3 linked regions of the Macaca mulatta genome follow. The protein of the gene in region 3 binds, or shares a complex with, the protein of the main gene of each other region. Links are inferred from orthologs where the notes say so. Each region holds a gene or a part of one and is shown on either strand. Other genes may lie near its edges.

Evidence for each region.
Region 1: HDAC2 (region 3) and CDK2AP1 share a complex: the UniProt entries of both Homo sapiens proteins name them as parts of the nucleosome remodeling and deacetylase (NuRD) repressor complex. The link is inferred for Macaca mulatta from reciprocal best matches to the Homo sapiens genes HDAC2 and CDK2AP1.
Region 2: HDAC2 (region 3) and CDK2AP2 share a complex: the UniProt entries of both Homo sapiens proteins name them as parts of the nucleosome remodeling and deacetylase (NuRD) repressor complex. The link is inferred for Macaca mulatta from reciprocal best matches to the Homo sapiens genes HDAC2 and CDK2AP2.

What each region holds. Positions count from the first base shown.
Region 1 is NC_133416.1:130,673,211-130,676,953, forward strand, and holds the start of CDK2AP1 (cyclin-dependent kinase 2-associated protein 1), read right to left. Parts: upstream 2,476-3,743; 5' UTR 2,409-2,475; coding exon 2,300-2,408; intron 1,519-2,299; exon of another isoform or gene 1,365-1,518; intron 475-1,364; coding exon 380-474; intron 1-379. UniProt on the Homo sapiens protein: Inhibitor of cyclin-dependent kinase CDK2. Also acts as a component of the histone deacetylase NuRD complex which participates in the remodeling of chromatin.
Region 2 is NC_133419.1:6,872,713-6,876,455, reverse strand, and holds CDK2AP2 (cyclin-dependent kinase 2-associated protein 2), read right to left. Parts: upstream 2,334-3,743; 5' UTR 1,869-2,333; coding exon 1,787-1,868; exon of another isoform or gene 1,636-1,786; intron 1,630-1,635; exon of another isoform or gene 1,585-1,629; coding exon of another isoform or gene 1,476-1,584; coding exon 1,378-1,475; intron 1,284-1,377; coding exon 1,151-1,283; intron 798-1,150; coding exon 730-797; 3' UTR 302-729; downstream 1-301. UniProt on the Homo sapiens protein: Acts as a component of the histone deacetylase NuRD complex which participates in the remodeling of chromatin.
Region 3 is NC_133409.1:19,038,254-19,041,996, forward strand, and holds the start of HDAC2 (histone deacetylase 2), read right to left. Parts: upstream 2,239-3,743; 5' UTR 2,026-2,238; coding exon 1,974-2,025; intron 1-1,973. UniProt on the Homo sapiens protein: Histone deacetylase that catalyzes the deacetylation of lysine residues on the N-terminal part of the core histones (H2A, H2B, H3 and H4).

The sequences.
Region 1 (3,743 bases), on a different chromosome or scaffold from region 3:
GGAGAGCAAGTGGGAACCGGCCGTTTTCTGTCCCAGCTTGGAGAGCCAGGGTCAAGGCCAGGCCTCACTTGCCCAGGAAAGAGAAGTGAGGAGACCCACCAGAGGAGCGCGTGGGGTGGGGGCCGCAGCGCAGCTCGGGCTGCTGCCCCTTCCTGGTGCTCTCCTGTCCGCTCCACCTCACACGTCCCTGCGAAACACAGTCCCCAGTGCCCTCCATTCTGATGTGTTCTGAGCCGGAGCCCAGTCAGGGCCTTGGGCTGAGAAAGCTCTGTCCCATACTTTCTGCTCCTTCGTCTCTTCCACCAGCTTCTCTCCTCTGATGGTGGGGAGCATGTCTCCCCCCAGCCCTCCCACCATGCCATCACCCCCATTGCCATACCTGGGTGTAGCCTAGGGATGGTGGCCCGTAGTCACTGAGCAGCTGGCGGTACTGTGAAGACGCCATGCTGGTGGAAGGAGAGTGGACACTCCCAGCTGTGGGGTGGGGAGAGAGAGGCCAGGAGTCAGCTCAGCCAGTTGTACCAAGGCAAGGACTCCAGGTCCTGCAATGGCCCTTGCCCAGGACCCACACCACCAACTGTAGCAGGATAGAGAACCCTGCTCTCCACCTCTAGTCTGACCAGTGTAGAAGACGGATAATGAAATGTAGCTACAAGGCACTCGGCCATCCCCAGCTCTGTAGCAGCTGCTGGTCCTCACAGAGCTCCGTCCTGTCCAACCAGAACCTTCCAAGCAGCAGGGCTGCTCCCAAAGATAAAATTACTGCCACTCCTGGCCTCATCCCTGCCCATCCCCTCTCCCTGTGTCCTGGCCCCAGAGGATGAAAACCTAGAGGCCACATCATACCACAAGAGCCCACTGCCATGGAGGCTGGTCCAAACCAGCGGAGCTTCCAAGCCTTTTTGTCCTATGCACCGAAATCTCTGCTGTGCTCAATGACGGGGAAGATGGGAAGGCCTTAGAGTATTTGAGACCCAACCCTGGCTGGAGACAGGCATGCTGGACATCAAATTAGGAATCTAGAGAACACCACGGCCTCTGTGTGCCCCAGATAAAGCCCCTCAACCTCTCTGTGCCTGTCTCCCCCTCCCCAAAGGGGGACCAGACTCTTGGCAGTCTATGTCCCAACGGCTCTGCATTCCAAGAGAGGAGGGTTGAGGCCCCACATATGGGATGCAACATTGGGGCCTGTCCAGGGCTGCAGTCAGTGACCAAGCAGGGCCCAGCCCAGAACGCAGCCTCCTGGATCTGGGAGGGGAGTCTGAGGCTGGGAGCACGCGGCCCCGCAATGGCGTCCCAGTGGCCATTAGCGGGTAAAGGATATCCTGCAGAATGACAAACAGCGGTAACCATGGAGAATTTACCTAGTCCTCCTCGGCAGCTGCCCGCCTGCCGCCCCCAGAGCCACACGGTCTCTCTCTCACACACACAGCGGGCGCTGCAGACTTGGCCTCGGGGATGGACAGCTGGTGCCAGGCTGGCCAAACCCACCAGCTGCTCACTTGGTGTGGGTGAGGGGAGGGGCAGAGGAGGAAGGAAGTTCAGGGCCTCAGGCTGGGGGAGCCGGGAGGAGCCCTGGAGAACCCTGGCTCCAGGCCCCTCTATTTAGAGACATGGACCTGAGGGAGTTGCCCCAGGGCACACAGCATAGCACCTGCCCCTCCATGCAGGGAGCCAGCTACCTCAGCACCTGCCCCTCTGTCCAGGAGCATCCGGGAGCGGGGACAGTCCCGAGTTGTCTCCCTGAGTCTCAGGCCAGCCCTGGATGCCACCACTGCAGCCCAGGGTTATGCTCCAGCTTGGGCTGGACCTGGAAACGTGGACTTGGATCCTGAACTGGGCAAAGCACCATGCCACTCCGAGCCTCAGTTTCCATGCCTCCCACATGGGGATGACGAGACACGTGTGCTACAGGGATGGGCGGCTTGGGATGGGGAAGCACTACGCCCGCGATATCCGGCACGTCCACGGCCACTGCAGGAATTGGGCAGGGCGATGTCCCCCAGCGCCCCCTCACCACATCAGCCAAACCCCAGTTTCCTGAGCTTCTGATGTGGCAGCAAGCGTGGCATGGGGAACACAGGCTCTGCTGGCAGAGACCTGGGTTTCGATCCTGGTAGCTACACCTCTCTGGCCTCGAGGGCCAGTCTCTGGGAGGGACCATAGAGCACAGCACCCTGGGTGTTTGCAAGATCCCAGCAGCCTGGCAGGAGGGGCGCTAGCCACTTCCCACGCACCCTCGAATCAACTCGGTGTGCCCCCGTCCTCTTCCCCAACTGCTTTGCCCACTGCTCCTCACCTCTCCTTTTCTGTCCTCCCCACTGGACTTGGCGCCAGCCCCAGCTGTGCCACTCCTGGCTGTGTGACCTCAGACAGGCCCCCCGCCCTCCAGTCCTCAGTTTCTCCATTTGTTAGAGGCAGTGCTTCCCAAGAGAAGGTCTACAGGCTCCAGACCCTACTATTTGATGATACTGGGGTTAGGTTTTGCGGGGCTGAGAGGAAGGAGGAATGAGAAATTGTCCCATTTTGGCTGGGGGGACAAGGAGCAATAGCTCGGTGACTCCAATGCTCTGTCCAGGCCAGTCCCTTGTTCAGGGTTGAGTGGGGGGTGTCTAGTCCTGGAGAGAGATGGCGGAAATGCCCCGAGTTCCACTCATGGTCACTCCTTCCTGCAGACACAGGGACCGGGACACAGGGACCACGTCAGCGCAGGCCGTCTCGGCGCATCTCAGACAATGAGCGCAGTGTGCAGGAGCGAGGGGTTGGCAGAGGCCAGGAAGCTCCTGGGGCCAGGCGCGGCTCCCCGCCCCCACGCCAGACAAAGAGCGCCGGGGCCTGGGGAGCTGGCGGCCTTCCCGCCACTTGGGGCGCCTGGGGGGCTCTGGGGCGGGGGAGGCGGGGGCTTTGTCTAACTCCGCCACTGCCACCACCGGCCAGGCCGCGGCTTGGCAACCCGTGAGCAGGAGGCAGGGCTGCAGGGCGTGAGGGATGATGACAAGGAAGCCGGAGGAGCAGCGGCAGCAGCGGAGAGTCCATCTTGGATGCAAATGGCAGGAGGGGAGCTGGGGTTCTGCAAAAGGGTCCATGGGGGAGAGGGAGGGGCACCAAAAAGCCCAGATCTGGGGATCTCGGCACTCCTGAAATTCTCCACAGAAGAAAGAGAAGAAAAGCTGAATACAGGTGCAGCCAGCTCAGAACAGGACTTCAGGGGTCCCCGTGAGTGCCGCTATCCCTGTGACCCCAAACCCTGAAGGTCCCAGTTTAAGGCCCCGGCCCCAATGACACCAGGTCAAGCCTGAGCTGTCAGCCTTGCCCAGGCTGGCAACACCAGCCCCTGCCCTCCCCACAGGCCAGAGGAAGAACGCTGCTGGCAGTCCTACCTGGCAACAAAGCCCGTCTTTGTAAGGTCTGCGGACCCCAGAGGAGGTGAGAATGTTTGAGAAGAAAACAGTGGCTGTTTGCTCTTTGGGACTCCGAGCCCACAAGTGAGCAATTCAACTCTCCCTCAGCACCCTGACGATTAACCCTTTCCTGCCCCTACACCTCAGTGTCCAAGGTTTTTTTAAATATCGTTTTTATGGGTCCTACTTCGGATGTGGGAGGTTTATGAAGTCAACGTTTGCAAACAAGGCCCAAAACTCGAGCAGGAGAGCCAGCGTGGCACCGGTGACCAACGGGGCCACTCCTTTCCCTCCGAGTCCTTACCCCCCACGCCCCGCAACACAACCGCCTTTTGGGAAGTC
Region 2 (3,743 bases), on a different chromosome or scaffold from region 3:
AGAGGAAGCGCCCTCCAGGCCCAGGCTGCCCATAGCGCCAAGGGCTGTGGAAGCAGCCAGGCCCTGTGCTGCCCCCTGGTGGCACCACAGGAAGGCCCAGGGCTCTCAGCGCCACGGCTGGGGCGGAGAGGGCCCGGTTCCCACCTGAGGCTGATGGCCCACAGAGGCAAGTCAAACCCTGTTTAGTCACACCCTCCCCACTCCTAGTCTCCTCTTCCCCTTTCTCTGCCTGGCCCACCCAGGTTTAGCTGAAGAACCAGACCCAGAAAGGCTCAGAGCTGAGAGCACAACTCCAAATCATCTTTTATTAATATAAAAAGGGCATATTTAGCAAAAGACACACAGATAAAAGAGTCACTATGGCTCAGGACACAAGGCAGTGAGGTGCCAGGCCTGAGCCCCTGCTGGGGGAGAAGGAGGCTCGGGACAAAGTGGGAGAAGGGCTGGGAAGGGCTGAGCGGTGGGGACCACAGAAAGTTCCGGTGGGCAACACTGTTGGCAGGTCATGGGTGGGACTCATGGGGACCTCGCTGCTAACTCTTGTTGTGGGGGGATGTCCTTAGTGCTGCCACCTGGAGAGCCGCTCCTTGGTTCCTGGAGGGGACCCACCAAGGGACACAGGACAGGAAGCCCAGGATGGTTAGTGCAACTCGGGATGAAGGCCAGGGAGAAGCGGGTGCTCTGCAGTGGCCGGGAAAGGTCCAGACGCTGAGGCCGGGGCGCTTCCTGTTACGTGCGGGCGTTCCGCTCTGTCTCTGCCAGGCACTCTCTGACTAGGGCCCGAGCATGGATGATACCTGGTGGTGGGGTGGGGTCTCAGCAACCCTCCACAGCCCCACCCACTGCCCTCCAGAGGAGGACCCCTGCCTCCCCACTCCCTTTCCCCTTTCAGCAAGAGAAATTCCAAACTAATGACGGCTAGATGAGATTAGAGGTTTGGTTAATCCTCAAGGTTGCCCTGTAGAAGTACAAATTCCCAGGCTCTTCCCTGGAAATGGACGCAATTTCAATTCGATTCAAAACACCTCTCTGGGTAGTAATACTGGCCCTCCTCTAGGCTTGGCTCAGGTGGCCTCCGGATGTCTTTCTTTCCCTAATGGAAGATAGTCCAGTGTCGGTTTCCTAAGCAGGGCGGCCTGGCCTCACTTACCTCTCTTCAGGCGCTCCATGGCGCTCTTGCTGCCAGCATATGTGGGCCGGATCTCTTTGCCCATCTCCTCTATGACTGACAGCAGGTCCGTGTAGGTGCTCTGGGAGCCCTGGGCGCCGGGTGGCTTCATCGCCTATGTCAAAAGAGAACAGGGCAGTGAGCTCAGGCACCTGGCGGGGAGGGGGACTCCAGTCCCCATCCATAAGCAAGCCTTTGGCCCCACTCACCTGCACGTAGCCCATGGAAGGCGGTCCAAAGTCGTTAAACAGCGGTCTAAAAGGAGCGGCGGCTCCTGGCACTGAGCCCGACGGCGACGGGACGCTTCCTGCAGCAACAGGCGCGAGTAAGAGGTCAGCGCGGGGCAGGGACGCCGCCTCCCAGCTTTTCCAAGCCCAGGACCGGGTTCGCCCGATTCCCTCCAAAGGATGCTTCATTCCAGGCTGATCAACTTCAGGGACAAATCCCTCCCACTGCGCTCCACCTACAAGCCCTTACGTGACCACGCCCACTTCACAGGCCAGCAAACTGAGGCTCAGCGAGGGTAGGCGGCAAGCCCAGTATTGCAGAACTCAGGCCGTCTTCTCTTCGAGACCTCGACCGCCCGGCAGGCGAGCAGGGGTGGAGCTGGATCCTCACCTGTAGGGACCGGGGTGCCCGGCCCAGGGGTGCTGGAGCCAGGGGTGCTGCTGGGGGCAGGGGCGATGGGTTTGTAGGACATCCCCAACTCCTGGGCGCGGCGGACGCCAGCCGGCCGCTCCTCGGGGGTTGGCTGCCGGGCCGCTCAGCCGCGCTCTGATTGGCAAGCGGGCTGCACGCCCCTGGTAAATAGAGGTCTGGCCGGAAGGGCGAGCGGGCACGAATGCTCCCTCACTCCCGATTGGTGGGCGAAGATGTCACTCGAGCCTCCTTATTGGCCGAGACCTGCCCCAGCAGGTCGCAACCGCCGCCGATTGGCCTCCGCCTTCCGGACCTCGCACCTGTCTGCTCCGGATTGGGCGGTGGCCACCGCCCTCCGCAATTGGCGAGTTCGCGGCCCGGGCCGGCGCGCTTTCAATCCGATTAGTCCCCAGGCCCTAGAGGCGGGGCCTCGGGAACCCGGACCCGGGGCTGGGCCGCCGGTTCGCGCCGAGGGTGTCTTCCCGGGCGCGGGCGCCACCCTCGCGCCTCACTAGCGCTGCTTCAGACGTCTGCTCCGCTCTGCCCAGTTTCGGCCCAGCAGGGGTTGCTGTCGCCGCTGCCGTGGCCGCTGTCACCGCTGCCGTGCGCGCTTCTCTGCTCCGGGGGCCGAAGGACGCAGGGCTTTGACGTCCCGAGCCCCGCGCCCCACCCCGTGCGCTTTTACGTCACCTTTCACCGGTTCAACACCCTCTCCCCGATCTGCGCATGCGCCCGCCCGAGGCCTGCGTTTGTTCCCATGGCAACGGGCCCTTCATCTATGCCGCCGCGCACCGTTCTTCCTGAGGCTTGGCTTGTCCTCAGGTCCAAGGGCGACCTCAAGGACCCCTTTGCCCTCACCCCCAAGGCCCCGCGCCGCTGCCTCAGTTAGTGATAATGGCCGTAGGGCAAACAGGGATTACTTGTGTGCCGGGCCCCGGACCAAATTGGTCAAGAGCACAGACTGGAGCCAACCGCCTGGGTTCGAATCTCAGTACCACCCCCACTAGCGATTTCCCCCAGGCAAGTTTCTCACCTCAGTATGCCTCAGTTTCCCCATCCGTAAAATGGGGAAAATGACAATCTCATTGGGTTGTGTGGATTAAATGAATAGTCATAAAGAGCTTCCTGTCCCACTCCAGGGCCCCCATACCTTTCCACTCCACCACTCAGACCCCTCCCCTCAAATCTCATTCGCCATAAACTTAGACCTCAGACCCTCCTCCACTCACTAACCCTTTCTCCCAGGCTCCTTCCCCAAACTCAGACTTCTCTGGCCTTGTGTACCTTCATGCTCCCAGCTTTGTAGATCTTAATCTCCAGGACAGTCATTCATTCATTCATTCATTCATTCATTCATTCATCCATCCATCCAACAAACATGTTCTGGCCCGGCGCGGTGGCTCACGCCTGTAATCCCAGCACTTTGAGAGGCCGAGGCAGGCTGATCACGAGGTCAAGAGTTCGACCTCGTGATCGAACATGGTGAAACCCCTGTCTCTACTAAAAATACAAAAATTATCTGGGCGTGGTGGTGGGCACCTGTAATCCCAGCTATTCGGGAGGCTGAGGCAGGAGAATCGTTCAAACAGAAGTTGCAATGAGCCGAGATCGTGCCATTGCACTCCAGCCTGGGTGACAGGGCAAGTCTCCGTCTCAAACAAAAACAAAAACAAAACCCAAGAAACCACACAAAAACCATGTTCTGACTCCCTCCTCCATCTCATGCTTTGTACTGAACCCTGAGGTTAAAGAAATGAACAGGCCATGGCCTCTGTACTCAAGGAGGCCTTATTCTCTGAGACAGTGAAGCAACATCTTCCTTACATTGCAGTAAGTCAGTGGCCACAAGGGAGAACGGGACAGGGTTCATTGGAACTTAGAGGAAGGGCCTGCCGGGTGGCATCACAGAAATATCTCCAGAGCAGGTGGCATTCGA
Region 3 (3,743 bases):
ACCCTCCTGGTTCTAGGGTTCCACTGTGGTGACAAGAAATTACAAGCAGCTTCCTTCATCAGAGCCCATCACTACCAACAGCAACTGACAGCTTCCAGAAGAACCTCAGTACCACTTTCCCTACCCAAAACCTTTCCTCTTTACTCCAACCCTTGACAAGGATAAATCTCTAAACTTCATAAACAAGGTAATTCTACAAATTAACTTATACACAGGGTTACTTCCTTTCCAATTTGATCAAGGAATGCAGGGCAAGAATAACCCAAAATATGCAATGTAAATCATGTTGAAATTAAAATGTATTTCCATCTCCACCCCTCCACGATGGCATAATTTCAAATCAATTTATATAACACATATCTGGTCCTCTGAAAAATCATTTTTTAAAAGGGCTGTTATTATTCTGTCCTAGCTATCGCAGATCAGACAATTCAGATTTATTCTGTAAGATTTCAGATTTTCTCCAAATGACACAGGTGGTTATTTTATATATAAGAGTCATTAAAAGATTAATCCTTTTTAACTAAAAAGAGAGTACGGCCATTTACAAGTTAAAGGCAGATTTATTCTAAGCTGGTGCTCTAGGTTCTTACCTCTCTAAGATACTGTGATTTACAATACACCAAATGTAGGAAACAGCTTCCAAAATTTGTATTGCTTCATACAAATCAGGACTTTCAGGTCAAGGAGCCTAGGATAGGTTCTCTGTTAAATTTTGGAATCCTTTTTCTCAAGAGTAACCTACTAGAAACTATTTACCAAGCCTTTGTGAAATCTGTAAAACAGGTTACTACTCCATTCAGCCACGAAACAGGATTCGAAGATTTAATATTACTGCTCATACTCCAAATTATAGAATGCTTAAAATTATCTGACTTTTGTAATTCACTACACGGTGAGCTCAAATTTACCTTATTAGAATATTTAGTACTTCTGCACTTCTCCCACTTCTCAAAGTTTTCCCACACCAGGATGCCCACCACCTAGGAACAGCCTTTGCAAGATACCAGTGCTCTCTAAATCCCCAAAGCAGGGTCGATTTCCCGATCGAACAAAGAGCAACAAAGAAGTGGGTGGTAACCACCACTCTCAGAGGCGAGCCAGGACCCATCGAGTGTGATCTACAACACAAGCAGTAGCAGTTCCACATCTCCCTACCACCTCTTACTTCCTGCGAAGGCTTTCTGCCTGAAACTGGAAAATCCGAACTATTATTGAGGAAGTGGAGCCCGTCCATTTGAATCCTGAGAAAGAGGCGCTCAAAGAATCCGGCGAACAAAGGAGAGGGTTGGAGCCCACGTAAAACATGGGTGTGATAAAGCCACACGCCGGACTTGAGCCCCCACCCTCAGTAACTACTCTCCAGCGCCCACCCGGGAGGAGGGGTCCGGGGAAAGACTGGAAGCCGAGGAAGGAGAAGACGCTCCGGCCAGACCCAACGCAGGGGAGGGGAGGCGAGCTGGCGAGGAGGGGGGAAGGGGACAGGAGGGGCGGAGCTCTCGCGGCCGCGGGGCTTTGTGTAGAGTCAAGGCCGGGGTAGAAATTTTGCCTCGCGGGGGACGGGTCGAGGGGATAGAAAGCCTACGCCGGGCACCCCAAACCTGCGCTGCCACGAATGGTGGGCAGGAGAGAGGAGAGAATGGGCCGCCCCCTTCCCCGCCACCACCAAGGCGGGGTAGGCCGGCGCCGTCCCCAGCAGCGGCCACCTTCGAGGCTGCGGACGGCACGGACGAAGGGGGAGAGGCAGGAGACAAGCGGGGCGGCCCCCCGATTCCCGCCCGCAGGAGCCGCGGGTGCTGCGCGAGGAAGACGGTCTCGTTCTAACCGCGCCGGGCCGGGAACGGGTTAAGATGCGGCCAAATGTCGGTCCCTCCTCCTTCCCACCCCTCAGCTCCGGCGCCCACTCGCGACGGCGGCCGCGGAACCCAGCACCCGGCCCGCGCGCCCACCCGGACACCGGCCCCGCAGCTCACCGTCGTAGTAGTAGCAGACTTTTTTTTTGCCGCCTCCTTGACTGTACGCCATGGACTCCCCGGCCACCGCCGCCTCCGGGCTCCTCCTCCTGCTGCTGCTGCTGCTGCTGCTGCCGCCGCGGCTCGGCCGGGAGAGAAAAGGGCTAAGGGAAACGTGGGGGCGGTAGTCCCGCGGGGAAGGGCAGGTCGGTGGGAGGAGAGGAGGGGGCGCCGGGAAGGCTGAGGTGCCGAAAGCTCGGAACCGGGGGTGGCAGCGGCACCAACTAGCGACACGGGAGAGGGGAGGGGGCCACCAAACCACCTCCGGAGGCCGCAGGGAGGTGGGCGCGCCCACTGCGGCCTCCGCGGGGGAGGAAGGGGCACGGCTGGAGAAGGAGGTCGCTTCGGGCTCGAGATTAGAGGCCCTCTGAGGGTGAACAACCTGCGCAAGGCGGCGCCATACACAGTCTTAAAATGAGGAAGAAGACAACCTTTCGCTGCGCAAGTAGATCCAGGGAGCGTGCAGCCGGGTGAACGTTCGCCCCCCCTCAGGTCTGCGCGCAGTGGTTGCGCCTCTCCCCGAGCCTGCGCAGTCGGCGCCTCGTAGCCTTGGCGGTCTGGACCCCTTGTCGGCGTCCCACGCTGCTCCCCTCCCCCACTGCCGCGAAGCTCCCGCCCGAGCCGACCACGTGCCGGGAGCCCGGCGGGGAGAGCCCACTCCCGCGCCCCTTCCGGGCCCACGACCGCGCCGGGCTGCGGCCCATCGCCCCAGTGCCTGGTAGCCTAGTTTTCTCGTTTGTCGTTTGTTCATTTATTATTATTATTATTATTATTGTTTTGGCCCGTAATGGGTAGGAGGTATAAAGGGACCTATCACTGATGTTAAGGGGAGAGGGTACCGCTTGGGTTTTAATAAGCATTTGTGGAGCTCATTTATAAGATACAGTTCTAAGCACTTAAATTTATATTTCATTGATAATCTATTTATAATAATCTCACTTAAGGCTCCCAACAACTCTAGGAAGTAAGTGGTAATTGTACTCCTTCATTATAGATGGAGACAGATGAAGGAACTTGTTCTTACTGCTAACTGATATGTCTGGAGGTTTGAACTCATTCTGCAAACTCCACGCGCCTTTGCTGTTCCACTCTGCAGCGATGCTGCTGCCTAGACACCGGAAGATTGGAGCAGAAAGACTTTCGAAACTCTTGGAAGTTATGAATATATGTGTTCCTGTGTTCAGTAAATACACATTTATCAAGCACCTACCCTAAGCCAGCCACCTTGCAGGTGAGGGCTAGAGGCTAACAGCCTGTTTCATAGCACCCATCCCGATTATATAATTTAAGATTCCCCCTCCCCCACAATACACCCCTCTTAAAAAAAAAAAAAAAAAAAAAAAAAAAGCTGTATTGATGCTGGAATTTTAGAGCCACTACCAAAAATACCCTTTTTATTTTGCTGTTTTACTTCAAAATCCCGAAAGTGTTCATGCTTAAAGCAGCAATTTTTCCCAACCTCACCCCCAAGAGATTTAGAAAAAGTCCAGGGTGGCCCCTGCCCTCCCTCTGCCCCCTCCTCTGTATTTTTAACAAGACCCCAGATGACTGATGAAGTTGCTAGAGAAATTACGGTGAGTGAAGCACTGGCCTAGAGGTAAAGTTAATTGACCTTCTAAGTTGTGCTCTATCAAGTACAAAATCAACTTGGAAGATTCTGAGAACAGAATAAGTGAATTTAGTAGAAGTGAATGTTCTTACCCAGGGCAAACACAATGAAGTCTGAAATGA